Callithrix jacchus: one gene and its partners. The protein of the gene in region 5 purifies or fractionates together with the protein of the main gene of each other region. This does not show direct contact. Links are inferred from orthologs where the notes say so. Each region holds a gene or a part of one and is shown on either strand. Other genes may lie near its edges.

The links.
Region 1: the proteins of SIN3B (region 5) and ARID4B purify together in Homo sapiens (affinity purification with mass spectrometry; 3 studies listed by BioGRID and IntAct, with this or other methods). This does not show direct contact. The link is inferred for Callithrix jacchus from reciprocal best matches to the Homo sapiens genes SIN3B and ARID4B.
Region 2: the proteins of SIN3B (region 5) and KDM5A purify together in Homo sapiens (affinity purification with mass spectrometry; 4 studies listed by BioGRID and IntAct, with this or other methods). This does not show direct contact. The link is inferred for Callithrix jacchus from reciprocal best matches to the Homo sapiens genes SIN3B and KDM5A.
Region 3: the proteins of SIN3B (region 5) and SAP130 purify together in Homo sapiens (affinity purification with mass spectrometry; 3 studies listed by BioGRID and IntAct, with this or other methods). This does not show direct contact. The link is inferred for Callithrix jacchus from reciprocal best matches to the Homo sapiens genes SIN3B and SAP130.
Region 4: the proteins of SIN3B (region 5) and GATAD1 purify together in Homo sapiens (affinity purification with mass spectrometry; 5 studies listed by BioGRID and IntAct, with this or other methods). This does not show direct contact. The link is inferred for Callithrix jacchus from reciprocal best matches to the Homo sapiens genes SIN3B and GATAD1.

What each region holds. Positions count from the first base shown.
Region 1 is NC_133520.1:50,066,175-50,071,914, forward strand, and holds the end of ARID4B (AT-rich interactive domain-containing protein 4B), read left to right. Parts: intron 1-2,030; coding exon 2,031-2,158; 3' UTR 2,159-3,777; downstream 3,778-5,740. UniProt on the Homo sapiens protein: Acts as a transcriptional repressor. May function in the assembly and/or enzymatic activity of the Sin3A corepressor complex or in mediating interactions between the complex and other regulatory complexes.
Region 2 is NC_133510.1:13,544,536-13,550,532, forward strand, and holds part of KDM5A (lysine-specific demethylase 5A), read right to left. Parts: intron 2,716-5,997; coding exon 2,581-2,715; intron 1,649-2,580; coding exon 1,543-1,648; intron 350-1,542; coding exon 258-349; intron 1-257. UniProt on the Homo sapiens protein: Histone demethylase that specifically demethylates 'Lys-4' of histone H3, thereby playing a central role in histone code. Does not demethylate histone H3 'Lys-9', H3 'Lys-27', H3 'Lys-36', H3 'Lys-79' or H4 'Lys-20'.
Region 3 is NC_133507.1:36,456,383-36,462,379, forward strand, and holds the end of SAP130 (histone deacetylase complex subunit SAP130), read left to right. Parts: intron 1-1,214; coding exon 1,215-1,318; intron 1,319-3,401; coding exon 3,402-3,500; intron 3,501-4,434; coding exon 4,435-4,548; intron 4,549-4,803; coding exon 4,804-4,962; 3' UTR 4,963-5,744; downstream 5,745-5,997. UniProt on the Homo sapiens protein: Acts as a transcriptional repressor. May function in the assembly and/or enzymatic activity of the mSin3A corepressor complex or in mediating interactions between the complex and other regulatory complexes.
Region 4 is NC_133512.1:57,173,276-57,179,866, forward strand, and holds the start of GATAD1 (GATA zinc finger domain-containing protein 1), read right to left. Parts: upstream 3,849-6,591; 5' UTR 3,564-3,848; coding exon 3,312-3,563; exon of another isoform or gene 3,176-3,311; intron 2,546-3,175; coding exon 2,420-2,545; intron 349-2,419; coding exon 289-348; intron 1-288. UniProt on the Homo sapiens protein: Component of some chromatin complex recruited to chromatin sites methylated 'Lys-4' of histone H3 (H3K4me), with a preference for trimethylated form (H3K4me3).
Region 5 is NC_133523.1:15,436,546-15,443,237, reverse strand, and holds the start of SIN3B (paired amphipathic helix protein Sin3b), read right to left. Parts: upstream 4,050-6,692; 5' UTR 4,027-4,049; coding exon 3,916-4,026; intron 3,659-3,915; coding exon 3,552-3,658; intron 2,017-3,551; coding exon 1,863-2,016; intron 1-1,862.

The DNA of each region.
Region 1 (5,740 bases), on a different chromosome or scaffold from region 5:
ATATAAACATTATTAAATTAAAAAAGAAGACACTGAACTATGCTTCCGCTTGTGTTTTTAAAGGTGTGCTGTTATCTACATATTTTAAATTTGCATATCATCTCTCTAGTTTCTAGAGATAAAATTCCTGTAGAACAGGGGTTGCAAAAATTTTCTGTAAAGAGATAATAAATATGTTAGGCTTTGTGGGCCATATGGTCTCTGTAGAAACTTCTCATCTCTGCCATGGTAAGTGTGAAATCTCTCATAGGCAGGATGTAAACAAATGGGCATGGCTATGGCTGTGTTCTAACAGAATTTTCTTTCCAAAGTCAAGTAAGCCAGATTTGCCCCTGGGGCAGTTATTTGTCAGCCTTTCTTCTAGAGTTTTAAAAAATGTGAAGAAACTGGTAATAGTGGGGAGGGGAATTTGATTGATTAGGAGGTTCCTAGATGAGAAGGAAATACACTTTTCTACCTTATTACCCCTGTGCTGAATGAATTTTTAAAATCTGTGTATGTACGGCTGGGCGCAGTGGCTCACACCTGTAATATCAGCACTTTGGAAGCCTGAGGCAGGTGGATCACGAGGTCAGGAGATCGAGACCATCCTGGCCAACAGGGTAAAACCCCCATCTATACTAAAAATACAAAAATTAGCTGGGCATGGTGGCACATGCCTGTAATCCCAGCTACTTGGGAGGCTGAGGCAAGAGAATTGTTTGAACCAGGGAGTCCGGAGGTTGCAGTGAGCCGAGATTACACCATTGCACTCCAGCCTGGCAACAGAAGGAGACTCCATCTAAAAGAAAAAAAAAATCTGTACATATATTTATTTTAAAATATTATTTTATGAACATTAATTTATAACAATGAGAGACGCTAGGTGAGGTGGCTCACGCCTTTAATCCCAGCACTTTGGGAGGCCAAAGCCGGCAGATCATGAGGTCAGGAGTTTAGACCAGCCTGGCCAATGTAGTGAAACCCTGTCTCTACTAAAAAAATACAAAAAATTAGCCGGGTGTGGTGGTGGGCACCTTTAATCCCAGCTACCCAGGAGGCTGAGGCAGGAGAATCACTTGAGATTGCGGTGAGCCAAGATCGCACTACTGCACTTCAGCCCAGGCGACAGTTCAAGACTCCGTCTCAAAAAAAAATTATTTTATGAAAACTAATTTATAACAGTGAGAGAGGCTAGGTGTGGTGGCTCACTCCTGTAATCCCAGCACTTGGGAGGCCCAGGTGGGCAGATCACCTGAGGTCAGGAATTTGAGACCAGTCTGGCCAACATGGCAAAACCCTGTCTCTACTAAAAATATGAAATTAGCTGGGCTTGGTGGTGTACACCTGTAGTCCCAGCTACTTGGGAGGCTGAGCCAGGAGAATCACTTGAACCCAGGAGGCGGAGGTTGCAGTGAGCTGAGATCGTGTCACTGCAGTCTAGCCAGGGTGACAGAGCAAGACTCCATGTGAAAAAAACAAAACAAACAAAAAGGAACAGTGAGAAAATTTCTCTGAGGAAAATAACTAATGTGTTATTTGCTTTGTAAACGTAGTAGAGGAGAATGCAACAGTTGAGCTATGTATTGTTTTGATCCAACTTGAAGAAGCAATTAAGCCTCTGATTCTCGTCACCATTTATATTACAAGAAAACATCAAGTACAGAAAGATGGAGGGATTAGGAGGGGAAAACAGATTTTTGGTTGGATTGCAGATTTTTCCTGTTTCGATATTTGTTTATAAAAAAAAGTATATTCTCTATTTTTTCTGTATCTTGTAGACCAGGCACAGTTTTTTCGCCTCTTTGATCCACTCAGGAGCCTTCCCTGGTCTGTCCCTTTCATTACTTCTGTAGTTGGGCACTGTCTAGCTACCTGAGCTATACACTAGCTTTTCCTCTCTTTACATCGTGGTACTGTGAGAACTGACCACTGTTGTAAGCTAAATGATTTTGGAGAATACAACAGAATTTTAGTTCAGAGGACTAGTATTTTCTGTTGTTAGACATACATTTGTATTAAGCTCTTGGTTTGGTCTCCCTTTTCCTTAGGTGCTGCTACATCCTCATCCTCTTCTTCACCTTCATCCAGTTCCATAACAGCTGCTGTTATGTTAACTTTAGCTGAACCATCAATGTCCAGCGCATCACAAAATGGAATGTCAGTTGAGTGCAGGTGACAGCAGGACTTGCTAAAGCACTTTGCACTTAATGGCTGTTGAGGGCCACTTTTTTTTTTATACTGCACAGTGGCACAAAAAAATATCAGACAAGCACTATTTTATATTTAAAAATTGTTTCTTGACAAGCTGACTTGGCACTTAAGTGCACTTTTTTATGAAGAAAAAGTACAATGAACTGCTTTTCCTCAAGCAATAATTGTTTCCAACTTGTCTGGGAATTGTGTGTCTGGTAACTTGAAGGCCTTCCACTGTGGCAAATGGAGGCTTTTCACTGCCTGTAGAGACAATACAGTAAGCATAGTTAAGGGGTGGGCCAGAACATGTTAAGATAACTTACTGTATATGTATTCCCTTGTATTTTGTTAAAGCTGGAACATTTGATATTTTTCCATTTATTTATGAAAAAATATGAACCTATTTTCATTTGTACAAGGTAATTGTTTTTTAAAGCAAGTCACCTTAGGGTGGCTTTAATTGTATAAGTCAAGCACATGTAATAAATTCAAAACCTGCAGTTAACAGGATATTAGACATCAGTCCTGGTAACCAAATATTAAAGATTCTCTTTAAAAAAGACTGAACATGTTTACAGGTTTGAATTAGGCTAAAAGGTCTTGCAGTGGCTTTTCATGCCCCTTCAAATTGGAATGGAACTACTGTACTTTGCCATTTTTCTATAAATCAGTATTTTTTTTTAATTTTGATATAATTGTGTGAAAAAAGAAAATGGCTAATAAACTGTATTAAATCTTAATGTATAAAGATTGTACTTAGCCAGTTCAAAGTGTATATTTATTCATAATGAATTATAACAGTTATATTTTTGTGTTTTCTTGTAAATGTTTCTTTTCCCTTAAATACAGATAATTCATTTGTATTGCTTATTTTATTATGAGCTACAACAAAAGGACTTCAGGAACAAGTAATGTATTAGTATGGTTCAAGATTGTTGATATGAACTGTCTCAAAAGGATGGTGGTTATTTTAAATATAAATAGCTAATGGAAGTGGTCGGCCTATAAAATTAAATGCCTTGTATAAAATCCAAAATGAATGCAAAATTGTTTTCACTTGTATTGACTTTATGTTGTATGATTCCAATCTCTGTTCTGTTTGGCACTTGTATTTAATTCTTCACCTTTGTAAGACATTTGTATATTGCGGATGTGTTCATTCAAGCTATTTAATACCTGGCACTGTTAATACACAGTACTTTATTGTACAGACTGTTTTACTGTTTTAATTGTAGTTCTGTGTACTTCTTTTGGATGGGGCTGGCATGTTTTATTTGTTTTCTGGCAATACGACATGTGAGAATTTCAAAGCGTTTTGTTGTAGATGCTAACGTGTCAGAATCCTTTACATTCAACTTTTCTAAGAAAAGCATTTCAGTCTTGTAGTGTGTGCTTACAGTAACTAATTTTGTTGAAAATGGTTTCAAGTTATTCAAATTTGTACAGGACTGTAAAGATTTGTTGACAGCAAAATGTTGAAGAAAAAGCTTATAGAATAAAAGCTATAAAGTATATATTAGGATCTGCAAACAATGAAGAATTATGTAATATATTGTACAAATGTAAGCAAAGGCTCTGAAATAAAATGCCATAGTTTGTGAATCCTTGATTTTTGTTTCTAAAAGATTTAGTAATTTTAGTTCATTTCTATATGTGATGGAACTTGACTGGAACATACAAATCCAGCATGTATTATCACAGGGGATTAATTGATATACAAAAAAGGGAGGCTTCTACCTATACAAATTAAAAGTCCATTAACTAGATAAGGAAAGTATTAGGCATTCTTTTTTTTTTTTTTTTTTTTTGAGACAGAGTCTTGTTCTGTTGCCAGGCGCCAGGCTGGAGTGTGGTGGCACAATCTCAGCTCATTGCAACTTTCACCTCCTGGGTTCAAGCAATTCTCCTGCCTCAGCCTCCCAAGTAGCTGGGACTACAGGCATGCGCCACCACGCCCAACTAATTTTTGTATTTTTAGTAGAGACGGGGTTTCACCATGATGGTCAGGATGGTCTCGATCTCTTGACCTTGTGATGTGCCCGCCTCGGCTTCCCAAAGTGTTGGGATTATAGGCTTGAGCCACTGCGCCAGGCCCCTCTTTTTCCTTTTTTGACATAGAGTCTCACCCAGGCTAGAGTGCAGTGCTGCAATCTTGGCTCACTGCAACATCTGTCTCCCAGGTTCAAGCAATTCTCCTGCCTCAGCCTTCCGAGTAGCTGGGATTATAGGTGTCTTCCACCACACCCGGCTGATTTTTGTATTTTTAACGGAGACAGAGCTTCACCATACAGGCTGGTCTTGAACTCCTGACCTCAGGTGATCCACCTGTCTCGGCCTCCCAAAGTGTTGGGATTACAGGCATGAGCCACCATGCCTGGCCTAGGCATTCTTTTATCTTTGCATACACTATTTTGCTTGAGTCTGAATTTAAATATTCTTCTTATCACTTGGAGAACTGTCCAGATTAGAAAATAAAGTTGTTTTTTTTTTTAATTTAACACTTGAAACCATTACCAGCAGCTTTTTAAAATTTTAATTTAGTTGGACCCTCCTGGGTCTTTTATACTTCAGCGTATTCTGTTGGACATTGGAATCATCGGCATTGTTAAAAGTATATTCAGTATTCAGACCCCACTCCCTGACAGGTAGTACCTGGATGTTGATCTTTAATTTTTAAAGGTCTCCAGTGATACTAACATGCATCTGGGTTGAGAAACACTGCTTTGCCACAAACTTTTAAAAATCCATAATCTAGTTTTTTGGCCTCATGTACTGACTTTACACCAAGGAAAAAAACCTTCCTTTAATACAAAGAGAAAGGAAATAAACTTTGTTAAGGCCTAGAAAGCTCAAATTTTTTTTTTTTTTGCGACAGAGTTTCGCTCGTTACCCAGGCTGGAGTGCAATGGCGCGATCTCGGCTCACCGTAACCTCCGCCTCCTGGGTTCAGGCAATTCTCCTGCCTCAGCCTCCTGAGTAGCTGGGATTACTGGCACGTGCCACCATGCCCAGCTAATTTTTTTGTATTTTTAGTAGAGACAGGGTTTCACCATGTTGACCAGGATGGTCTTGATCTCTTGACCTTGTGATCCACCTGCCTCGGCCTCCCAAAGTGCTGGGATTACAGGCTTGAAAGCTCGATTTTTTTAACGCTTCTTTGTGGTGGTCCTATATTTTCAGAAAAATTAGTTTAAGGGATGAGCTTTTAAATCTATGGAACAGTGTTTCCCAAAATGAATTCCTAGAATACTGGTCTGAGGAAATGCTCTGGGAATTTATAACCAAATATATGTTGGAAAATCTATGTATAGCACATTCTTAGTCACAATGTTTGCATATTAAAAACTTTTGAGAAGGCCTGTGAAGAAATACCTGTCTAAATAACTTAACTTTACCCTACTGTTTTCAATCTTACCTGTTTTTTAGGGTTTTTTTCTTTTTTTTGAGATGGAGTCTCACTGTGTCGCCCAGACTGGAGTGCAGTGGCACACTCTTGGCTCACTGCAACCTCCACCTCTCAGGTTCAAGTGATTCTCCTGCCTCAGCCTCCTGAGTAGCTGGGATT
Region 2 (5,997 bases), on a different chromosome or scaffold from region 5:
CTCAACTATTTATACAGATTCATTTTCATGCTCTCACTTGGTTACACACAAGGTATATGACTTACAGGAAGCAGCCTACATATATAGGACAAAGCAAGGTTAATAACATAAACAAAAGCTGCGACTTCATAGATTTGCCATCAAGTCTTCTAACCAAATGAACTAACTAAACACATACCAAGATATACCAGGATAAAAATTACAAAACCATAATAAAAATAGATGCTTTCCCTCCTGACAGACCCCAAAACACTTACAAAGTTAACAGAGAGAGTGCCTTTCCGTTGTCTCATTTGCATGTTGAATGCGTCTGACCTGTTGGTAACTTTTCGTCTTCGGGTGACCTCATCTTTAAATAAAAAGTTATACAATAATAGTAAAACCTAATGTTGAGAGCTTACTATGAACAAGACACTATTTAAAATTACTTAGTTAAAATTGTGTAACTAGTATTAGTATATATTTCTAATAGTATATCTAGAGGTAGATATACTATTTATTATCTCTCACTGAAGATGAAGAACCTGAAGTACAGTGAAGTTTGTAACTTGCTCAAAATCACACAGCCAGGCAGATTTACGATTCTAATCCAGTCACATAAGCTCCAGAGAGCTTACCCATTAATGCTATATTTGTATGCAGTACATTCTACATACAACTTGTATGTATTACTTGGAGGACTCCCAAATTATTCAAGGACTAATTTCTAACACTGTTGCCAACCAGTACTGTAATTACAAAAATAACAAAGTATTTAATTCTTAAAAAGGAAATATTGTTATAATGTATTCAGTAAGTCTTATTACATGGGATGTTTTGAGAGAGATGGAACAATATTATTTAATCCTCTAGAGTTCAGTCCACAATCTGAATTGTATGACTTAACTACACATGTAAGTACATGGTAATTAATATTTGTGACTATAGCATTTCATTACGTTCTTATATAGTCAAAACATATCCAGCCTAATCTTTGTTAAACAGTTTTAAAATTGACATACATAGAATAGTGGAACTTGATCTCTGCATGAGCAGTTCTACCCACAAAAAGCTTTCCAACATGTAAAGCTGCGAGTACTAGACTTACTGAAGAAAACAGTTTATTCAAATGAACAGTCATAATGTATCAAGGACAATTATTTCAATAATCAAAATTATGGTTAGAATTTTAAAATTCTAAGTATCCCCCAGTATATGTTGATACTAAGAGTTAAAAGCTTTAGATCACTAGGTAAGAACCATTAATTCTACCATTCTCTCATAAATCAGCCTTTAGAAACTGTAATACATTTCTGTATCATATACTTCACATAAAGGAGAAAAATTATCTCTTCCAAAATCATAAAAATTCAACATAATATTGCTCTTCACATCTTAAATTTAAGATATCTGGCATTTAAAATGTGATTTGCCTAGAAACCACACTGCAACTTTACAATTCTTAAGAATTTCCCAGCACAGACGGCAATTCAAGTATCATATGAATCTTTTTACAGCCATATTGAACCTTATCTCTTTTCATGACCAAATAACAAATTTTACCTTCTTTATCTTTTGTTCCCATTGCCAGGCCCACAACCTTGGGCCCAGCCCCAAAAATCTGAAGTTTCTTCAGCTCTGTGTTTCTATTCACATCTCCAGATTCTGACTAAAAAATAAGCAAAATTCACATTAACATCATTGTGCTAATTCAGGCATTTATTTTTGCTACCCAAGAAAAGTTTCAGGATCATCTTCAAAACAAAAGAACAAATTATTGGATTTATTTTCTGTAAATCCACTCCCTGCCTCATTACCACAGTCGAAAACAGTCACCAAAACACTGTGCAACACTCAGATTGTTTTCCACAAAATAAAATTCATCTATGACTCATAAAAGTATAGTTGTCAAGCTGTCTAAAGACAGACACTGCTGGTTATCACACAAGAGAAATCCCCACTTCTAACTTGCTACTGGGCACCTGTATCTGATTAGAGGGCATCTCAGGGCGTGAACTACAACTGTCCTAAGTCAATCATGCTAGCCTCATTTTTCTTTGTTGGTGATGACCAACAAAGTGGTAGGAATGTGATCCAGTTCTAGCCTGTGAGATATTAAAAATTGTACTGGAATCCCCCCGGAAAGACTGTCATAAACAGGAAATTGCCAGGCACAGTGGCTCACAACTGTAATCCCAACACTTTGGGAGGCCAAGGCAGGATCATTTGAGCTCAGGAGTTATAGACCAGCTGGGCAACATAGGGAGGTCCCATCTCTACAAAAAGTACAAAAATTAGCCAAACACAGTGGTGTGCACCTGTAGCCCCAGTTACTCAGGAGGCTGAGGTTGGAGGATCACTTCAGTTTGAGAGGCTGAGGCAGTGAGGCAAGATCACACTGCTGCAGTCCATCTTGGGTGACAGACGAGTGGGACATTGAATCAATCAATCAATGGGAAAGCTTCTCCCAGCCTGGGCAACACAGTGACCCCACCTCTACCAAAAAAAATATAAATTAAAAATTAGCTGGGCAAGGTGGCACACACCTCAAGTCCTAGCTACCCAGGAGACTGAGGCAGGAGGATCACTTGACATCGATACCTGAGACTTAACACGTCTTGTTCTCTTCGGCAGAATGTTCACTCTTGTGCCCGGCTCTGGGGAAGTGTGGGTATCAGTGCTGAGAACCTCAGGCTCCACTTTGTCTTTAAGATCTAAATTAGGCATCTGTACACCCTAAAAGATCAGAGAACAGAAAGAGAGCAGGTTCACTGATAAGAAATCATGCTTCAGAATCAGTGGAAAAATAATAAATTACCAGATCCCTAAAATTCCTAAAACAAGACTGCAATTATTTCTCAAACTGACCTGCAGCTATCCCTATCAAAATCCTGGCAAGCTTTCTGTTGTTATTGAAATTGAAAGCTGATCCTAAAATTTATGTGCAAATGTCAGTTGTTTAGATATTTTGGAAAAGAACAACAAAAACTTACGCTATGAAATATCAAAATTTAGCATAAAGCTGTAGTACTCAAGACAATGTAGTACTAGTGTTAGCGTAGACATAATCAATGCAACGAAACAGAGCCTAAAAATAAACCCACACTTCTATGGTCAACTGATTTCTAACAAAGGTGGTAAGTTAAATCAGTGGGAAAAAGCCTTTTAAACAAATGGTGCTGGTACAACTCAATATTCATATATTCCCTTCCCCACTAAAAAATAAACTTACATCTTTACCTCACACTACACACACCCAAAAAAAGCCTCAAATTGCATCACTGATCAAAATATGAAAGCTGAAACTATGAAATTTCTATATTAAAGCAAAGAAGAAAATCTTTGTGACTTTGGAAAAGATTTCTTAAATATGACACCAAAAGTACAATCCATAAAAGGAAAAAATAAATAAATAAATGGTTCTTCAAAAAGTCACTATTACAAAAATGAAAAGATAAACCACAGAATAGGAGAAAAGCTCTACAAATCATTTACCTGATAAACAACTTGTAGACAAACTATATAACAAACTTACAAGTATAAGAAGACAAACAATACAATTAAAAAAGAAAATCTGATCAGGAACAAACTCCCATTCACAATTGCTACAAAGAGAACAAAATACCTAGGAATACAACTAACAAAGGATGTAAAGGACCTCTTCAAGGAGAACTACAAACCACTGCTCAAGGAAATAAGAGAGAACATAAACAAATGGAAAAACATTCCATGTTTATGGTTAGGAAGAATCAATATCATGAAAACGGCCATACTGCCCAAAGTAATTTATAGATTCAATGCTATCTCCATCAAGCTACCAATGACCCTCTTCACAGGCCTGGAAAAAACCACCTTAAACTTCATATGGAACCAAAAGAGAGCCCACATAGCCAAGTCAATTCTAAGCAAAAAGAACAAAGCTGGAGGCATCATGCTGCCTGCCTTCAAACTATACTACAAGGCTACAGTAATCAAAACAGCATGGTACTGGTACCAAAACAGAGATATAGACCAATGGAACAGAACAGAGGCCTCGGAGGCAACACCACACATTTACAACCATCTGATCTTTGACAAACCTGACAAAAAGAAGCAATGGGGAAAGAATTCCCTGTTTAATAAATGGTGTTGGCAAAACTGGCTAGCCATGTGCACAAAGCAGAAACTGGACCCCTTCCTGACACCTTACACTAAAATTAACTCTAGATGGATTAAAGACTTAAACATAAGACCTAACACTATAAAAACTCTATAAGAAAACCTAGGCAAAACTATTCAGGACATAGGCGTAGGCAAGGACTTCATGACTAAAACACAAGAAGCATTGGCAACAAAAGCCAAAATAGACAAAGGGGATCTAATTAAACTCCAAAGCTTCTGCACAGCAAAAGAAACAATCATTAAAGTGAAGCAGCAACCAACAGAATGGGAAAAAAGTTTTGCAATCTACCCATCTGACAAAGGACTTACATCCAAAATCTACAAAGAACTAAAACAGATTTACAAGAAAAAAACAAATCCATTCAAAAGTGGGCAAAGGATATGAACAGATACTTTTCAAAAGAAGACATATATGAGGCCAAAAAACATATGAAAAAATGCTCATCACTGGTCATCAAGGAAATGCAAATCAAAACTATGTTGAGATACCATCTCACGCCAATCAGAATGGCAATCGTTCAAAAAATCAGGAGACAACAGATGCTGGAGAGGATGTGGAGAAATCGAAAGGCTTTTATACTGTTGGTGGGAGTGTAAATTAGTTCAACCATTGTGGAAGACAGTGTGACAATACCTCAAGGACCTAGAAATAGAAATTTCATTTGACCCAGCAATCCCATTACTGGGTATATATCCAAAGGATTATAAATCATTCTATTATGACATATGCAAACGTATGTTCATTGCAGCACTGTTTACAATAGCAAAGACTTGGAACCAAACCAAATGCCCATCAATGATAGACTGGACAAGGAAAATGTGGCACATATACACCATGGAATACTATGCAGCCATAAAAAACAATGACTTCGTGTCCTTTGTAGGGACATGGATGAACCTGGAAACTATCATTCTCAGCAAACTTAAACAAGAACAGAAAATCAAACACCGCATGTTCTCACTCATAGGCGAGTGTTGAACAATGAGAACAGATGGACACAGGGAGAAGAGCATCACACACTGAGGTCTGTAGGGGGCACTAGAGGAAGGACAGTGGGAGGGTAAGGAGTTGGGGAGGGATAACATGGGGAGAAATGCCAGATATACGCGATGGGGATGGAGGCAGCAAACCACATTGCCATGTATGTACCTATGCAACAATCCTGCATGCTCTTCACATGTACCCCAGAACCTAAAATGCAATCAAATATACATATATAATTTAAAAAAAAAAAAGATCTGTTCTGGAGGAAAGTATAATAGAAAAAAAAATCTGAACAGACACTTCACCAAGATATACAAATGGATAATATGAATATGAAAACATGCAGCCAGGTGCAGTGGCTCATGCCTGTAATCCCAGCACTTTGTGAGATAGAGGCGGGCAGATCACAAGGTCAGGAGTTCAAGACCAGCCTGACCAAAATGATGGTGATATCCCATCTCTACTAAAAATACAAAAATTAGTCAGGCATGGAGACACACGTCTGTAATCCCAGCAGTACTCAGGGGGCTGAGGCAGGAGAAGTGCTTGAATCGAGGAGGTGGAGGTTGCAGTGAGCAGAGATCTTGCCACTTGCACTCCAGCCTGAGCAACAGAGCAGACTCCATTTCAAGCAAAAGAAAAAAGAAAAAAGACATCACTAGTCATTTGAGAAATGCAAATTAAAACCACAATAAGATATCACTATACAACTAACCAGAATGACTACAATTTTAAAAAACTGACAATACCAAGTGTTGGCCAAGATGTAGAAAAACTGGAAGCATCTGTATTACTGGTGGGAAAGTAAATGATTCAACTACTTTGGAAAACAAATTGACAGTTCTTAAAAATTTACACACTCCAGGCACAGT
Region 3 (5,997 bases), on a different chromosome or scaffold from region 5:
TGGGCTCAAGCGATCCTCCCACCTCCACCTCCCAAATGTCTGGGACCACAGGTGCATGCCACCATGCCCAGCTAATTTTGGTATTTTTTATAGAGATGGGGTTTTACCATGTTGCCCAGGATGGTCTCAAACTCCTGGGCTCAAACAGTATTCCCCCACCCCTACCCCTGAGTCGGCCTCCCAAGTGCTAGGATTGCAGGCATGAGCCACCAGGCTGTTTCCTCCACTCTTTCCCTCACCTTACCCAGCTGATAAAGCTACTGATGGCTGCCTGTCTTCTCTAATGTTTTCAACACTGCCCTGAAGCACAAGTTCCTCTATAAAACAAATTCAGTCAAATTGTAGTTCCCTGGGCAGAATAGTTTCTGATACCAGTGTTCCATATTTGTTCTGCCCTCAGAAAGGCTCCCACAGCTCTTTTATACTTTGTTCTTTCCTTCAAACCAGCCTGCACATAGCTATATCTTCATTAGTTCCGCAAATCTCTCCCCAGTTCCCTTCACCATAGCCTCCACTGTTCTTGGGAGCACTGTTAGGTCTGAACTTCTTCACACGTTTGCAAATGGACTCAGTTGCTTCAGGAAGAAATTAAAAGGTATCTGTTTTACAGCCCACTTCTTCTGGCAAAATGTTTGAGCCAGGGCCTTAGAGATGGGGGAGGCCCTGGCTTGGCATGTGGCAAGCTTTTCTCTGAGTGACAGCCCTGCTTTAGGAGGTAGCACTTAGTGGAGGGGAAGGAGGGGAGTAAGCAGCCTGGGGTCCTCTTGGCTTGCCTCCCCCCGCAAATGAAACCACTACCTCAAGTGAAGAAGTTCTTATGGCCAGGTACAGTAGCTCATGCCTGTAGTCCCAATAGTCTGCAAGGCCAAGGCAGGCAAATTGCTTGAGCCAGGAGTTCAAGACCAACCTGTGCACATAGGAAGACCCCATCTCTACAAAAAATACAAACGTGAGCCCAGCATGGTGGTGCACACCTGTAGTCTCAGCTACCTGAGAGGCTGAAGTGGGAGAATTGCTTGAGCCTGGGAGGCAGAGGTCGTGGTGAGCCAAGATTGTATCACTGCTCATCAGCCTGGGTGACAGAGCCAGACACTATCTCAAAAAAAAAAAAACCTAAATTCTTGTTAAAATAATGGCATTTAGGCTGCTTGAACACAAACCATTTACCATTTGAAACAGTGAAATATACTTGTTTTTATTTTTTATGGTTACAGAGGAGAAGAAAGCTATGCTGCAGGAAATAGCTAATCAGAAAGGAGTATCCTGTCGTGCTCAAGGCTGGAAAGTTCACCTCTGTGCCGCCCAGTTACTACAGCTGGTAAGTGGAGTTCTAGCAGTTGTTCATCATGCTGAAGAGAGGAGAAGACACTGGAGATAGCCGAGTTCATGAACTTTTTAAAAGTAACTCTGAAGCATTTCCAGCTAACATGGGTAATGGTAGAATTTTTACATGTGCTATGTAATATAATCACTGTGTCAGTTACATGTGATTATAACTGAAATATATCTGAGTTCTGGTACCCAGATCCAAAATATATGGAACAACTGTGGTATAAGATGTAAGTTTAAGATTCAGTGGTATGTGCTGTGTTGTGACATCTGAAATAGGGGGACCCTCAAATGGCCTAACCATGAGGCCCTCCTCCCCACTCTGCTCCCTCAGATGAAGTCTCCTAGGCAAATAATCCTTACACCACAGGGACCAGGCACACAATTCCTGCTCCTCACTGAGTAGTAGGCTCCAGTTCCCTGCCAGTTTCCAGTATTCCAATAGTACTCAGATAAGCCAGTCACACACATCATCCTTCAGAGACCAGAGCATACCTCTCCCTCTCTCCTGTTCTTTTCTGTTGTTGTTGTCGTCGTCCAGGCTGGAGTGCAGAGGCATGATCATCTTACTACAGCCATGATCGACCTGCTGGGCTTAAATAATCCTCTCACCTCAGCCTCCCAAACAGCTGGAACTACAGATGTGAGCCATGGCACCCAGCTGATTTTTTTTTTTTTTTTTTTTTTGAGACGGAGTTTCCCTCTTGTTACCCAGGCTGGAGTGCAATGGCGCAATCTCGGCTCACCGCAACCTCCACCTCCTGGGTTCAGGCAATTCTCCTGCCTCAGCCTCCTAAGTAGCTGGGATTACAGGCATGCGCCACCATGCCTAGCTAATTTTTTGTATTTTTAGTAGAGACAGGGTTTCACAGTGGTGACCAGGATGGTCTCGATCTGTTGACCTCTGATCCACCCACCTCGGCCTCCCAAAGTGCTGGGATTACAGGTGTGTGCCACCGCGCCCGGCCCCAGCTGATTTTTAAAAATTTTTTATAGAGACGGGGTCTCACTATGTTGCCCAGGCTGTGCTGTGTCTTCATTTTTAACAAGTTTTAAAAGTTAAATTTTTTTTTAATAGCAAAAACAAGTCCAGGTTCAGTGGCTCAGGCATGTGATCCCAGTACTTAGGGAGGTTGAGGCAAGAGGATTGCTTGATCCCAGAAGTTCAAGGCCAGCCTGGGCAACATAGTGGGACCCTGTCTCTACCAAAAAAAATTTTTTTTAGTTAGCCAGGTGTAGTCCCAGCTACCTGGAAGGCTGAGGTAGGAGGATCTCTTGAGCCCAAAAGACAGGGGCTGCCCTTAGCCATGATCGTGCCACTGCACTCCATCCTGGATGACAGAATAAGACACTGTCTCAAAAATAAAAAAGGAAGAAAAAGTTTATAAAATAAAGATATAAAGAAAGAAAATATTTTTCATAACCATCCAACAGTGTCCAAAGTTGTTCAACAATGTGCCTTTTAAGCTAAGTTTTATTGCAAAAGAGTCAAAAAGTTTAAAACAATTTAAAAGTTTATAAAGTAAAAAATGTAGAGTATGCTAAAGTTAATTTGTTATTGAAGAAGAATATTTTTAATAAATTTAGTGAAGCCTAAGACACAGTGTTTATAAAGCCTACAGTATTTGTACAGTGAGGTCTTGGATCTTCACATTCACGCACTCAACCACTGACTCACCCAGAGCAACTTAACAGTGTTGGTAAGCTCCATTTGTAATAAGTGCTCTGTATAGGAGTACCATTCTTGATCTGTCAGGCCATATTTTTACTGTATCTTTTCTATATTTGGATATATCTAGATACTCAAATACTTAACATAAATACATCAATTTCCCACACTATTTATTGCAGTAATGTGGTGTACATGTTTGTAACTGGGAGCAGTGGGCTCTATTCATATAGCCTAGGTATGTGGTATGATGTTCACACAAAAACTAAATTGCCTTAAGGCACATTTCTCAGAATATATCTCTGTCATGAAGTAGTGCATGACTATATTTGTGACTCATAAACTGTTAATCTTATCTGTCCAGTGTTGGATCTTATATGTTTGGCCATTTCTATAATCCTAGGGCAAGAATCCCTCCTTCGGCAACTGGGTGAAGAGGAGGCAACAACCTCATAAAGTTTTTCCTTCTTCGCCTGTAATCCCAGTACTTTGGGAGGCCGAGGTGGGCAGATCACCCGAGGTCAGGAATTTGACACCAGCCTGACCAACATGGAGAAACCCCTTCTCTACTAAAAATCAGAATTAGCCGGGCGTGGTGGCTTGCACCTGTAATCCCAGCTACACGGGAGGCTGAGGCAGGAGAATCACTTGAACCAGTGAGGCAGAGGTTGCAGTGAGCTAAGATCTTACCATAGCACTGCACCCTGGGCAAAAAAAGTAAAACTCCATCTCAAAAAAAGTTTTTCCTTCTTTTCAGTAGCAGTGATCTGAAGAACATTGTTCTCAGTATCTAAAAAATGTAGTGCCTTGGCTGTTTTTGACTTAGCAAAATCATTTCTATGACACTTGGAGACTTGTTTTTCAGAAGAATTGTGGATTCAAGGCAGTATTCAAAAGTTATCTTTGAAGGTAGACTCTCAACTATGGCAAATTATAATGTAAATCTTTGTTCATCAGTTTTCTTTACTGTTTTTATTTTATTTATTTCAAACAGAGATTTGCTTTTGTTGCCAAGGCTGGAGTGCAATGATGCGATCTCAGCTCACTACAACCTCCACCTCCTGGGTTCAAGCAAACCTGCCTCAGCCTCCCAAGTAGCTGGGATTACAGGCATGCGCCATCACACCCAGCTAGTTTTTTATATTTTTAGTAGAGATGGGGTTTTACCATTTTGGTCAGGTTGGTCTCGAACTCCTGACCTCAAGTGATCCACCTGCCTTGGCCTCCCAAAGTGCTGGGATTACAGGTGTGAGCCACTGTGCCCAGCCCCTTTACTGTTTTTAAACCTTAGTATCTTAGTCCTTAGGAGAAAGGACGTTGTCACCCAAACAGCTCTAAACAGTTTACATAAGTGATTCAAGGTGGGTTCATTTGCCTGGGGTTGACATAGAAAAATATCTCTGAGGTCATGATATCCTCCGTTTTGTGTGTTGCAGACGAATCTTGAACATGATGTCTATGAAAGACTTACCAACCTACAGGAAGGGATTATCCCAAAGAAAAAAGCAGCAACTGATGATGATCTCCACCGAATAAATGAACTGATACAGGTTTGAATTAGCCCCTTCCTTCTGATCATCCACTTTATGAAGTTGCTTTCTATAAAGCCCTACTTCTTCCATTTCCCCCTGTGTCTCTCATATCATCAGTAAAAACATGTGCTTCAGCCTGCACTATTGAGAAACAAGAAGACATTTTCTCTCTGTGGAAGCCTCAACATAGCCTCTGCCCAAAGGCAAGCAGTTTTTTAAAAGCTGTACTATCCTCATGGTCACTGATTAATGATGTAATGTCTTCTGTTTCAGGGAAATATGCAGAGATGTAAACTTGTGATGGATCAAATCAGTGAAGCCAGAGACTCCATGCTTAAGGTTTTAGATCATAAAGACCGCGTCCTGAAGCTTCTTAACAAGAATGGGACTGTCAAAAAAGTGTCAAAATTGAAGCGAAAGGAAAAAGCCTAGACCCAGAAGAATCGGGAGATTGGAAGCAGAATTTATGAAGAATGATGGTGGGGGTGGGGGGAGGGTTTTGGTTATTTCCAAAGTGGAACATTGAAACAAAGGAAGTGTTCCTTCATTCATATGTGAAAGGAGAGGGACCCATTGCACCCAGTGGCATGAAAGGATCAGAGCTGACTGGACACAGTGAGCCACCTTCTTGCGTTTGGGTCCACCCCTGTTAACTCTGCTCTATGTCCTAAGTGACTTCGGATGCGTCAGTGTCCACCAGTTGGAAGCAGTGACAAGGATGGCTGGCTGGTGTTTTTCAGCCGTCCGGTTTATAGACTGTATTTATATAGTGGATTCCTGCAGGCCCCATACCGAGCCTGGACTGAAAGCCTCCACTCGGACCATCTGTTATCTCTCTACACTGAAAATGAAACCTCTTCCACCCACCCTATTCAGTTCTTCTGCCTGACCTTCAAATGCCCATGTTGGCCTTTTACAGCAGTGCCACGGCACCAAGCAAGCTGCCACATCTCACACTCTAAAGGGTTTGAACTATTAGTTCTTGTCATTTTTTAAAAGAACCATTCCCGTGTGAAATTGTTATATCGTCTGTCTTGCGTGTGTCAGAATGGGGTTTTTGTGGAGGTTCAGAGCAGGCAACACCATAAGTTGCTCTCAGATCCTTGTTCTGAAGTACAATCTTGATTATCTGTACTTCTGTAGCTGGTGTGATGCTGTTAATTGTATGTACCACACATCTCCAGACGTTAATAAAGGACTCAGAGGTTTTTGTACATGCGCAGTTTGCATCTTCTTGTAAAGTGAGTCAGTGCCACACTGACCTTCACTGAAACGTTTACTGTGCTTTGGTTTCTCACATATTGTTGGGAGCCTACTTCATTCGTTGAAGTTTTGCTGTTCACATAGAGTTCCACTCACTTATCAGGGCAGTTTGAATATGCTGCAGTGGTAAAATCTGTTGGATTTTGGCTACCTTAAATATGAGCCTATATTGCGGCCCTGTGCAGATATGTAATTGGAAATTGC
Region 4 (6,591 bases), on a different chromosome or scaffold from region 5:
CTGAGGCAGGAGAAAGGCTTGAACTTGGCAGGCAGAGGTTGCGGTGAGCCAAGACCATACCATTGCACTCCAGCATAGGCAACAAGAGCAAAACTCCATCTCAAAAAATAAAAAATAAATAAAAATTATAGCCGCTTATGGTGGAAAACAGCTAAGAAGGTAATAAAATGTATCATCATCACACCTTATACAAATATAGAGTAGCAGAGACCTTTAAACTAATCCAATATTTTAGTGGCACATTACCCACTAGGCCCAACTCTTCCTTCAGTAACTACAAAATATTACCTTGTAGAAGATTGATTCTGCGGTGATTATGGTGGAAACTGACTCAGGAGCTTTGATGGGCTATGAAAATACAAAAAAAAAATCAGCACATTCATAGTATGTATGTACAGGCATTTTCCCAGCTCTATGAGAGTTCTGTAATTTGAGAAATACTAAAATGTAATTGTTTGGTGACAAGAACTACAATAAAAAGATAAATATTTTTCTGAATGTTGTAGTAAAGCAGTCTCAGTATTTCCACTCCAATTTCTAAGACAAAGGACAAGCTTCTGATTATGCTGCTGAGATCTAATGCAAAGTCTTCTCAGAGCTCCACTACACATAAACATTCCAGTTATAAAAATATACCTGTTCTAATAGCCTGAGCATGACAGAATGCAAGTAATAAAGAATGTACAGGTGAATACAAAGTGAAAAAGTGTCTCCTTGAAGACATTTTCCAATTCAACTATGGAACTAGCCATAATACTCAACATCAATTTTCTAGCAAGCTGGAACTATGGCTTTAGAAACTTCAAGAATTCTTAGTAATTTGCCACCATCCAACCACTTTTGAAATCTCTACCAAAGGTACAATACATATTTTTATGCCACAACATAGAAACTAGACCTCTCCAGATCTGTCTTGCTTGGTTCCATCGAAGAAAGTGGTTGCAGAGAAATAATAATAATTACTGCGAACATGGTATACCATACTTAAAAGGAAAAAAATGTGTATATGTGATACAAATATAAATAACATGTTTTATGTAATCAACAAATGCCTCACTTAACTAAGTTATAAAAATCTTAAATAAATTTGAAGCAACTACTCTGAATAAGAAAATACTTTGGAGGGGAAAATATCACATACTGGGTTTTGTCGGGGGTGGGAGGTAAGGGGAGGGAGAGCATTAGAACAAAAATCTAATGCATACAAGGCTTAACGCTAGATGATGGGCTGATAGGTGCAGCAAACCACCAGGGTACATGTAAACTATGTAACAAATCTGCACTTTCTGCACATGTATCCCAGAACTTAAAGTAAAATTTAAAAAATAAATTAATTAAATTAAAAAAGAAAATACTGTCATTTGCATAAGTCTCCTGCAGGGTTCCTTTGTGTTTTAGAAATATGCCCAACTTCAGAAATGTCTTAACTGGTAAGTGAAACACTCCTGTTCTGAAAGAAAATATCATACTGAGACTTAAAAAAATAGTCCATAATGCACTGTCCACTGTGTCTGACCATTATTCCTTCTTTATAAAAAGTGAGAATTTAATTTCAATAAAAATATGCTTTCAACTATTTCCAGCACAGGTCTTTCAACAATCTCTTTTCTTAGAGCAGAAGAGGAGATAAGGCTAAACAAAATTTTTGACTCATATTCATCAAATCCATCATCATCAGAAGATACATTTTCTGGGGCTTTTATAACAAATAAATATGCAAATGATGAGTTCTAGTATTAATGTTTACTTAAATTTTTAAAGAATGGAAAAAAAAGTTTTCTTAGTGTACCTGGCCATATTAAGAACCACAATCTCTCCTCTTCCTTTGCATAGAGAACCCAAAAGAATGGGCTCAAGGTTGGTATTTATTATTTTGAGAAGGAGTCTCGCTCCGTCGCCCAGGCTGGAGTGCCATGGTGCTATCCTGGCTCACTGCAAGCTCCGCCTCCCGGGCTCAAGCGAATCTCCTGCCTCAGCCTCCTGAGTAGCTGGGACTACAGGCACGCACCACCATGCCTGGCTAATTTTTTGTATTTTTAGTCGAAACAGAGTTTCACCGTGTTAGCCAGGATGGTATCAATTTCCTGACCTCATGCTCCGCCCGCCTCAGCCTCCCAAAGTGCTGGGATTACAGGCGTGAGCCACCGCGCCCGGCAATATTTCTTTTAAACCCGTATTTTATATTTTCCAGGGGAAAAAGTAAAAGCTAAAAAAAAGGAAAGAGTATTTATTATTAACTTTATAAAAAGTGAGCCTCCTGCAACAGAGCTCATTCCCTTTTGGGGAGTCTGGACTACCCTCAAAATACTGAAGAAGGGCTTCCAAGGGCAGAGTCCAAGTTCAGTGGGGAGAAATGAAGGCAGTGGCAAAATATACACAACATCATTACAGTAAAAGGCACTGTCAACAAACATCTTACATTTTTCAATTTAAATATGTGTCTTCTCCCTTTTCCTTTGGTGGAAACTTTCTTTTCAGCAGCCGGAGCAGATTTGTATTTAGTGTTTCTGAGCCGAGCAGACCTCCTGTGAATTTCCTGCTTACTCTGTTATACAAATTAAAGAACAAAAAGAGAAAGTAAAAAATGTAGAACGGTTGCAGTCCCGGTACAACCATCTTACAAGGATCCTGGAGTATGCACCTTATAAGAGCATTTAGCGATTAAGAGTGCGCCTTTGCTTTTCAAACGGGGTAATTACAGTAACTGGGCTAAAACTACAAGTCCAGCACGCCGAATCTTGGAGCTCGCTGGACATGCCTCTACAGAGCCTCCCAAAGGTGTGAGCTGCTCATAATAGGGCACGAGGCAGGAGGAGGAGTCAGTCTAGGCCAAGACAAGACCTATTGATTTGTTGTGCCTACAGGAGAAAAACACTTAACTTTACTCCCTAAGGCCAGAGAAAGTGTTAGGTTATAGCATCCTCTACAATGGAATACTTAAGCTGCCATTTACAATAATGACAATAATCTTTACTTCATAACCTGATATGACAAAACCTTTATTAACAAGGAATGAGGTCCTGCATCTGTGGCATGACCCTGTTTACGACTGTGTAGACGTGCATATACTGAGATTTTCAGAAGGGCTTTACATTTTCTTGCTTCCTTATGCTTTAAATTTCTTACAATAGCAGGTGCTTCGGAATGCGCCAAACCAAAAATCTCAATAGGAGGTGGAGAGGAGGCGTCCCAGCCCGGCAGGAGCATCGCAATCCGGGAAGCCCGTACCCGCCCGCTCCCCCGCCAGCCCGGTCCCGGCCCGCCTAGCGCCTGTTCGGCCTCCGCCGGCGGGAGAGGCCGGAGGAGCTCACCTGCTTGCCGCCCCCGCCCCCGTTGCTCTGCGGAGGGGCGGCGGAGGTGCTGGCAAAGGTCGCCGCGCCGAAGCCGCCGCCGCCGCTGCTGCCCCCAGTCCCTCCGGCAGCCCCCGAGCCGGTAGCCCCGCCGCCCGCGCCGCCCCGGCCCGTGCAGTGATGGCAGAGGATCTCCCCCTGCGCGCCCTTCTTCCACATGGAGGACGACGTGGTCTTGCAGACGCTGCAGGTGGGCTTCAGGCCCAGCGGCATGGTGGCCGGCTCGGGCGGCCCCCGCGGGCGCAGAGACACGGGAATGGCGGAGGCTGGCCCGGCCGCCCACTGGTCGGCCAGCCACTCCCGGCGATAGGAAGAGCTGTGAGGCCGACGGCACCGAGCTGCACGTGAAGGGACTAGGCCGCGGCCGCTGCCCTCTGGAGGCGGGAAGCGGGTTCCGCCAGCTGTGCCGGCTCAGCGCCCAGCATCAGCCCCTGGAGGCCTGAGGCACTGGGAAGCAGGACGGACCAGACCGGCGAGGAACGCCGGGCAGCGGCCCACGGAGACTTCCGGCGATGAGCTGGCCCCAGGGCCCCACAGCCCGACTGCCTGACCGGAAGTGCAGCACCCGGAATTACTGGGAACTTGCTGCAGTTCCACTTTCTGTCGCTTAGGGGCGCGGTTCTCAAACTTTTTGGTCTCAGGCCTAGAGTTTGCTGGGTAAAATACGGAACACCCAATTAAATGTGGCTTTCAGGTAAACGACGGATAATCTTTTTTTTTTAGCACGGGTATCCTATGCAATAATGGTTTATCTCAGACACGTTTAACTGGGAGTCCTGTATTTTTATGTGCTAAATCTGGCAATCCAGGCCTGGCGTGGTGGCTCCTCCCTGCAATCCCAGTAATTTGGGAGGCTGAGGCGGGCCGATTACTTGAACTCAGGACTTCGAGATCAACCTGCCCAACATGGTGAAATCCCGTGTCTATTAAAAATACAAAAATTAGCCAGGCGCAGTGGCGGGCTTCTGTAATCCCAGCTATACTGGAGCTGAGGTGGAAGAAGAGCTTGAGACGGAAGGTAGAGGTTGCAGTGAGCCAAGATCGCGCCATCGCACTCCAGCCTGGGTGACAGAGTGAGTTTCCAAAATAAATAAATAAATAACTGACAATCCTACTCATCTACATCCTCCTATGCCCCCCGCTCCCCCCCCCCCCCCCCCGCCCCGCCATTCTTTTGTTTAGGTGAATTCAGAGCATGCCATTTACGGACATCAACAAGAGGTTCAGAACATGTCATCCACTGACATTTATGTATTAGAAATTGATATTGAGACATTTTACAGCCTAAGATGTCAGGTACACATTCTTCAGCCATTAAGCAATATCGTTGTATGTGCTGTGAGACTCTGAAGAATATTCCAATTGGAGAATGTGAAGAAAATTGAATAATTGGTTTAGCATTGTTGGAAAACAGTTTTGGCTCTGAGCGCCCAGCAGTTGACAAATAGCTGGCCTGGGACAAGCATAGGATGAGAAGCCAGATCGCCTTTCTTAATGTCATTAGTCAGTACAGGTCTTGCCAGAGAAATCAGTCTCCTTCTCAGCCTCTCTTCATGATCCTGGGTTTCCTAGACTTAGTATCCTTGGAAAGATCTTGATGAATATACTGGGTTGTGGGGTGGGGGGAGCAGTGAGGAGAAACATTAAATGCCTATTTTGTCACAAAACCACATTTTGTGCTTCTGACAACGTTGGAATGAGATATTATTCCGATTTTACTGTTAATTGGTGATCAACAGAGGCACTTCTGTGTGCACTGGATGTCATTATAGCTGCTGCCCTTGGCACCACTTTCGAGGAGGGCTTTGGAGCAGCCCCCTAGGGTGTGGGTTGTGGCTCAGTCATCCTCCCTCTAAGTTTCAGTTTTCCTAACAAAAATAAGTTTCTGCCGGGCGCGGTGCCTCACGCCTGTAATCCTAGCACTTTGGGAGGCTGAGGTGGGTGTATCACTGGAGGTCAGGGGTTCGAGACCAGCCTGACCAATATGGTGAAACCCTGTCTTTAAAAAAAAAAAAAACAGGCTGGGAGTGGTGGCTTAAGCCTGTAATCCCAGCAGTTTGGGAGGAAGAGGCGGGTGGATCACGAGGTCAAGAGATCGAGACCATCCTGGTCAACATGGTAAAACCCCGACTCTACTAAAAATACAAAAAATTAGCTGGGCATGGTGGCGCGTGACTGTAATCCCAGCTGCTCAGGAGGCTGAGGCAGGAGAATTGCCTGAACCCAGGAGGTGGAGGTTGCGGTGAGCCAAGATCGCACCATTGCACTCTAGCCTGGGTAACAAGAGTGAAACGCCGTCTCAAAAAAACAAAAACAAAAACAAAATAAGTTTCCAGGACTGTTATTTGGATTAAAGCAAACTGTAAAAGTGGTTGAGGAGACTAGGTAAAGAGTGTTGTCTCATTTTAGAACAATGCTGAAGGTCTTTAGGGCCTGCCATCCCAAAATATGCCACTCTGGCATATTGATTCCTCTGAGCTGATGGCAATGGAGCAACAACAGATGCAGGGAAGGCTCTCTGACCACCCTCTTTCTGTTTGAAGCAGAACATAAAAGTTCCCTTGTGCAAGGTGCCCTTTCTATACCAGGAAGAGAAGAATATTCTTATTGCCAGAGGCAGAGCTGCCACTGAGATAAATCTACAAACAAAACCTTACAAAACTTTGTAACCCTTATTTTCCATTAGTTTCTCACATACAGTTCTCACATACTTTTCCACAATTTACCGGCCTTAGCCTAAGCTCCTTTGTCTTGTCACATCCCTCCATGCAATTTATTATTCTTTTTTTTTTTTTTTTTTTTGAGACTCTCGCTCTGTTGGCCAGGCTGGAGTGATCTCAGCTCACTGCAACCTCTGCCTCCTGGGTTAGAGCAATTCTTCTGCCTCAGCCTCAAGTAGCTGGGATTACAGGTGTGCATCACCACGCCCGGTTAATTTTTGTATTTTTAGCGGAAATGGGGTTCCCCATGTTGGTCAAGCTGGTCTTGAACTCCTGACCTTGTGATTCACCCCCCCTCCCCAGCCTCCCAAAGTGCTGAGATTACAGGTGTGAGCCACTATGTCTGGCCATTATTCTTTATTTAAAAGGGCATATAAGCTCTTGGGCCTAATAACTTCTATTGATCTTTATTTTTCTTGCAAAGACTCCTGTGCATATACAAATATTAAATAAAACTTTTATGCATTTTCCAGTAAATCTGTCTGCACTTTATGCATTTCCAGTAAATCTGTCCAGCCACA
Region 5 (6,692 bases):
CTACTCAGGAAGCTGAGGCAGGAGAATCGCTTGAACCTGGGAAGCAGAGGTTGCAGTGAGCTGAGATCGCACCACTGCACTCCAGCCTGGGTAACAGAGCAAGACTCCATCTCAAACAAAAAAACAAACAAACTGAGACTCTCCTTGGCTTTCAGAGACAACAGGCTGATGGTAGAGAGGGTCTTGCACAGAGAAGCAGCAAAATTTACAGGCACCTGGCACATGGAATTAATATAAAAGCTGCTGCCACGTTACCTTTCAGTGTTCTCTTTCCAACTGACTGCAGAGTGTCAGATCCCTAACTGGGCACTCTAACATGTCTTCCATCAGAGGAGAGACCTACCAAGTGCTTCCAGCAGTAGATTCTGACACTCCCTGCTAAAATTCTGGGGGTGAGGACTGGAGGAGGTTGGGAGAGCTGGTTCATTTATACAAGCAGTTCTCAACAGGGGCACTTTTCCCCCAGGGAGACACCTGGCAATGTCTGGAGATGTTTCTGGCTGTTAGAACTGAGTGAAGGGCTGATGGATGCAGGCTATGGATGCTGGCTGCTAAACATCCCACAGTGCACTGGGAAGACCCCAACAGCAAAGAATTATGCCCTAAATGGCAATAGTGCCGACGTGGAAAAAAATGACAACGGTCATCTTACAAAAGGGAATCTTAAACAGGCTTTCTTTTTCTCAGAGGAGCTGGTGAGCTAAAGGATAAAGAGACATCAGAGATAGAAGGAGCAGTGAGCCAGGCCCAGTGGCTCTCTCCTGTAATCTCAGCACTGTGAGAGGCCAAGGTGGGCAGACTGCTTGGGGCCAGGAGTTTGAGACCAGGCTGGGCAACAAAGTGAGACTCTTTCACTACAAATAAATAAATTAGCTGGTCGTGGTGATGCACACCTGTAATCCTAGCTACTTAGGAGGCTGAGATGGGAGGACTGCTTGAGCCCAGGAGGTAGAGACTTCAGTGAGTTATGATAGGGCCACTGCGCTCCAGCCTGGACAACAAGTGAGACCCTGTCTTTAAAAAAAAAAAGGCTGGGTGCAGTGGCTCATGCCTGTAATTCCAGCATTTTGGGAGGCAGAGGAGGGCAGATCACTTGAGGTCAGGAGATCAAGACCGGCATGGCCAACATAGCAAAATCACGCCTCTCCTTAAAATACAAAACTTAGCCGAGCATGGTGGCCTGTAATCCCAGCTACTCAGGAGGCTGTAATCCCAGCTACTCGGGAGGCTGAGATAGGAGAATTGATTGAATCTGGGAGGTGCAGGTTACACAGAGCTGAGATCGCACCACTGCACTCCAGGCTGGATGACAGAGCCAGACTCTGTCTCAAAAAAATAAATAAATAAATAAGAGGGCAGCACCTCTCACCCAAGAAAGAAGGAACCAAAGCAAAGTCAGGAGTCCCAACTGAGCTAATGATCCTATTGACAATCCCATGAAACATAAAACTGGCTGTTCTCACACCATCTCAACCACTTTATTTCACAGGTGGCTCTGAGAGTGATCAGAGGTAGACGACCACATGAGCAAGTACAAGGGCAAGCCTGCCTGGTACACTCGCTGGGAAAGCCTCAGGCCCAGATCTCAGACTTCACACAAAATTCTGCATTAGGAGGATACCTCCCTGACATCCACTCTTGATTTAAATCTTCCCAGCAGATCAATTTGGGAGGCAGAGGCTGCTTGTGTAGGTGTTTCCGTATCTATTTTGATTTGTGCTAGAAGCAATGAGCATGTCTAGAAAAAGAACGGATGTTAAGTGGCTTTCTAGCAATGACACAAGAGAGACACGTGGCCCAACCTGAGTAGCAAGATATACGCGGTGAAGGCTGAGAACACCCGAATCACTGTAGCGGCATACCTGGCATGTTAGAGGCGACTGTATGTTTAACTTCCCGTTCTTGGGAATGTCTATTCTGTATCCGAGGGGAAGAAAAGCATTGAATCCAACAATGAGGTCAGGGTGCTCGTGGAAGAGCTGAGAGACACGTCTGATGACTCCAGGAGTATCGATACTAGAAGAAACAACAAGAGTGGGTCTTGGGAAGCAAATAAAAAATGAAATCTGTTCCCTACTCCCTTGATACTGCCACATAACAACCTTCTCCACAGACAACAAAGCAAGCTAATATGATCCACCAGGCACAGTGGCTCACACCTGTAATCCCAGCACTTTGGGAGGCCAAGGCAGGCAGATCACCTGAGGTCAAGAGTTTGAGACCAGCCTCGCCAACATGGCGAAACCCTGTCTCTACTAAAAATACAAAACTTAGCGAGGCATGGTGGTGCGTGCCTGCAATCCCAGCTACTGAGACACAAGAATCACTTGAACCCAGGAGAGAGAGGTTGCAGTGAGCAAAGATTATGCCGCTGTACTCCAGCCTGGGCAACACAGTGAGACTCCGTCTCCAAAAAAAGGTGCCCCTGAGATAGCATCTGTACACCATGATCTATTTCCTGAGCAGCTAGGCCTGAGCTCCCTGTGCCCTTTTGGTGAGAACCAGAAAATACTGACATTGCTCAGCTCCCGCAAAACACTCCACGAATGAGTACTGGGTTCTGAAAATGTCAGGAGAGCCAACCGCAAGTCCTGGTCTCCAAGAAGTGGCAGGAGGCCTAAGTCCTCTAAGCAATGTGAAAAATTCCCTCATTTCATATCAGATGGGGATGACTATGACACAGGTTTCCATCTGAGCAAACGACTGCAATGCATAAACACCAACGGTACAGCCAAGTATGGGAAAAGTGTAAGATAAATAGGAGGGGAGAGATGGGGTCTCCCTCCGGGCTGCATCACAGCCCTTAGCACTGGGCTCCTGGAAGGAGACCAGGCCAGCCCCACCAAAGGGGGCAGCAGCATGGTAGGGATGTAACCCGAATGCATCTGAGTCAGAGGGTCTGAGTTCTAGTGCCACCTCTGCCACTTAGGTGGATCCCTTACCCATTCCAAGTCCCATTAAGCCTCCTACAAAAACAAGTGCATGATCCCAGGGTTTCCCATCTATCTGTAATCCTCCTTGATTCTGGGCCTGCAAAATCAGCTCATGTGTTTTAAACGTTTTCTGTATGCCAGCTCCCTTACTAAGCATTTTATGCGTCTCACTTCCAAGCAGGCCTGGGACTCCGGTGAGCCCAGAGAAGCATGCTGAGGACAAGATTAAAGAGGAAGAGGGTGCCAAAAATTTCAATCACCAAGACTTGAAAAAAAAAATCAAAATGGGTCCCACCAAATCTTTCATGAACAAAACTTATTTAACAATCAACATATTAAATCAAGGCAGGATTCGACTCTATGAGTGTGCACGGCCTCGCCTTCCCTGGCTCCCTCCAGGTCCCTGCCCTCCTTTCAGGAATCCCCACGAAGCTCCACAAAGTGGGTACTACCCATTTCCATTTTTGTTACGAGAAAGAGCTAAGGCTCTGAGAGATTCGACAACCCGCGCAAGGTCACCCGGCTAAGGGGGCAGCCTGGAGAGGGGAGGTCCCACCCCGCTAGGCCCGATTCCGGCCAACGGGGGTCCCCCGAGGTGGAGAGGGGCCCCGCGGGTACCTCTGGCTTTTGAACTCTTTCATGATCTCCAGGAAGCCGTTGTAGGTGGCGGGGTCGCTGCCAAACCGGATCTTCACCTGGTCCAGATAGGTGAGGGCGTCTTCAACCTGCAGAGCGGGGAAGAGTCCCGGTGGGCCGGGGCCGTGGGAGGAGGGAACGAGGGGCTGGGATCCCTGGAGGAGAAGGGAACAGGCCGGACCTTCGGAGGGCCAAGGTGAAAGGTGAGGAGTGAGGGATCGGGGACCGAGCAGAGGGGAGTCTGAGGCGGGGCCGGGGCCAGGGCCGGGCGGGGCCTGGGTGAGGGGCGCCTGCCCGCGGAGTCCAGAAGATGAGGTCCCCAAGGGAGGGCGGGGATGCCACTCACGTGCACCGGCAGTTTCTCGTGGCCCGCGGAGCCCGAGCGTCCCCAGCGGGCGCCACTCAGCCCCCGGCCCGCGGGGCCACCACTGCTGCCGCCGCCGCCAGCGTGCGCCATGTTCGAAGTCGGAGCTGCACCCCGCCCCGCCCCCGCCCGAGGGCCTCCCGCGCATGCGCAGCCTCCGCCTTTGGAGGCGGGGTTTGATGACGTTAGAGGGGCGGTGTTCTTTGAGGGTCTCCTCTGAGGATCTTCTTAAAATTGCTCTCAAACCTAATTAACGATTTATATAGCAGGCGGTAGGCGAACCAAGGCCCGCCGGTTTCTTGGTCTGGCCCCGAAAGCTCAGAATGATTTTTACATGTTTACATAGCTGGGGGAAAAATCCAAAGGAGAAGAATAGTCTATGACCAGTGAAGAAGTTTGTGAAATTCACATTTGAAGGTCCCTGAATAAAGTTTTATTGGCACACAGACACGCCTGCCAGTTTACCTAGGATCTCAGCCTGCTTTTGCACAATAGAGTAGCTAGTTGCTAAAGATCCTACAGATCTGCAGAACCTGATGTATTTACAATCTGGCCTTTTATGGAAAAGGTCTGTGGGCCCCTGCTTTATAGAGCTGATGGGACAATGAAATATGAGCACCCAGCGCCCTAATACAGGGCCTTGCATGGTGAATTTTTGCTAAACGGCCTTTGAGTTAGTCCTAATCCTCCATTTTCACTTCCCTGTCCTTGGTCCCATTACTTCCCAGCTGGACCAGTTTAGGAGCCTCCTAACCCTGGAACTTTCTCAGCCCTGGTACTCTCAAGAACTCCAGGCTGAGGGTGGTGGCTCAGGCCACTTTATCTAGGAGATAAAGACAGGAGAAATGCTTGAGGTTAGGAATTCAAGACCTCCTGGGCAGCAGAGCAAGATCCACGTCTCTACTAAAAAAAAATTGAAAGTGAATAAATTAGCTTGGCGTGCTATGAACTCGCCACTACACTCCAGCCTGGGAAGCATAGCAGTGTTTTTTGTTTGTTTTAGAGCATCTCACCTCAAAAAAAAAAAAAGAAAAAACAGAAAAGAAAAAACTCAGGCCAGGTGCGGTGGCTCACGCCTATAATCCTAGCATTTTGGGAGGCCAAGGTGGGCAGATCACGAGGTCAAAAGATTGAAACCATCCTGGCCAACATGGTGAAACTGCGACTCTACTAAAAATACAAAAATACCGTGTGTGGTGGCGCGCGCCTGTAGCCCTAGCTACTCAGGAAGCTAAGGCAGGAGAATCGCTTGAACTCAGGAGGTGGAGTTTGCAGTGGGCCAAGATTGCAGCACTGCACTCCAGCCTGGTGACAGAGACTCTATCTCAAAAAAAAGAAAGAAAAAACTCGGTTCATTCCACCACTGCTTCCAAACCTCCAAGGTCTTCCTATTTCTTTGTGTGTGTGTGTGTGTGTGTGTGTGTGTGTGTGTGTGTGTGTGTTGCCCAGGCTGGTCTTGAACTCTTGAGTTCAGGCAATCCATCTGCCTTGGCCTCCCAAAGTGCTGGGATTACAGGCGTGAGCCACCTCGAAAATTCTGCAGGAAAAGGTTTCTAAAAACCAATTCTGACAGCCTGCAGTGTAGATGCTTATGAAGCAGGAACGGCATGGAACAAACCTATCAAACGCCAAACTGAGGAAGGAAGTGGCTTTTTTATTCAGCTGGGAGTTTCGAGGGGCAACAGCCTCACTCACTGAGCTCCCCAAACTGCAGCTTCTCTCTCCTTTTATAGGCTTACACCGCTAAAGGGGAAGCTGAAGCGGAACTATGTCATTGTCCATTTGCTGGATGTCTGACCTTACAATCTTTTGGCTTCATTTATTTGCTAATTCATATGCAGCGTGAGTGGGGACCAGCATGGGAGGGGGCTTACAGAGACAAGACAAAAGTAACAAGCCATTTGTTGGCAAAGGTGTTTCCAGGAGGGCACCTGTTTTGTGGAGATGTGGGGGCGTGAACCAGTGCCGGGCTCCAGCCGGCAGGGATAACATTCATTTGCAGCTCTTTCAAGGCTAACAGATAGCAGAGACGCTGGGAACTAAAAAGGGAGTCATTTCCCCAGCTCTTTGGTATTTTATTTCATTTTTTTTTTCCTTCTTCACCCTCCTTCCCATCTGGAAGGGAGGGAGGGAGGGAGGGAGGAGGTGAAATTGAAGGAGGCAAGGGGTCTACCCTCTCACTTAGATTTCATCTCATTAGAGATAGGGAGACCTGTCTCTAATGAGACAAGCACCTACATTGCCGACTGTCAGAATCTGTCCTTAGGAACCTTTTCCTGCAGGATGTTCCACCCAAGCAAACTGCTTCTGGGCAGAACCTCACACCATTGCCTGACTGACCTGCCTGCTTCCTGGCCCAAAGCATTGGCCCTCGTCATTTCCGTTGCCAGAAGTACTGTGGTGCCTCTTTGTTATCGCGAAAACACCTACACATCCTTCCAAACCCAACCCAAATATCACCTTCCCTCAGAAAGCTTTCCCAGTCCCCTTCTGTGTCCTCCCACAGTCCCTTGTAGGTCATGTTTGTTTTGAGGACCATCTCTAAGGCAAATCCCTGACTCAGCCACTCAGTCAGCATTTATGATATAAATGAACATTCACTTAATGACCAAGTGCATTCACTTGTTATCAGTGAAAAGGAGCAGGAAAGTTGGGAGTAAACTGGCATTGAATGTGTTGTTTACCAGGCACTGTGCTAAGTGTTAGGAATAAATAGTAAAAAAGAACAGAAATTTGGCTAAGAGCTTTCAGTCTTTCAG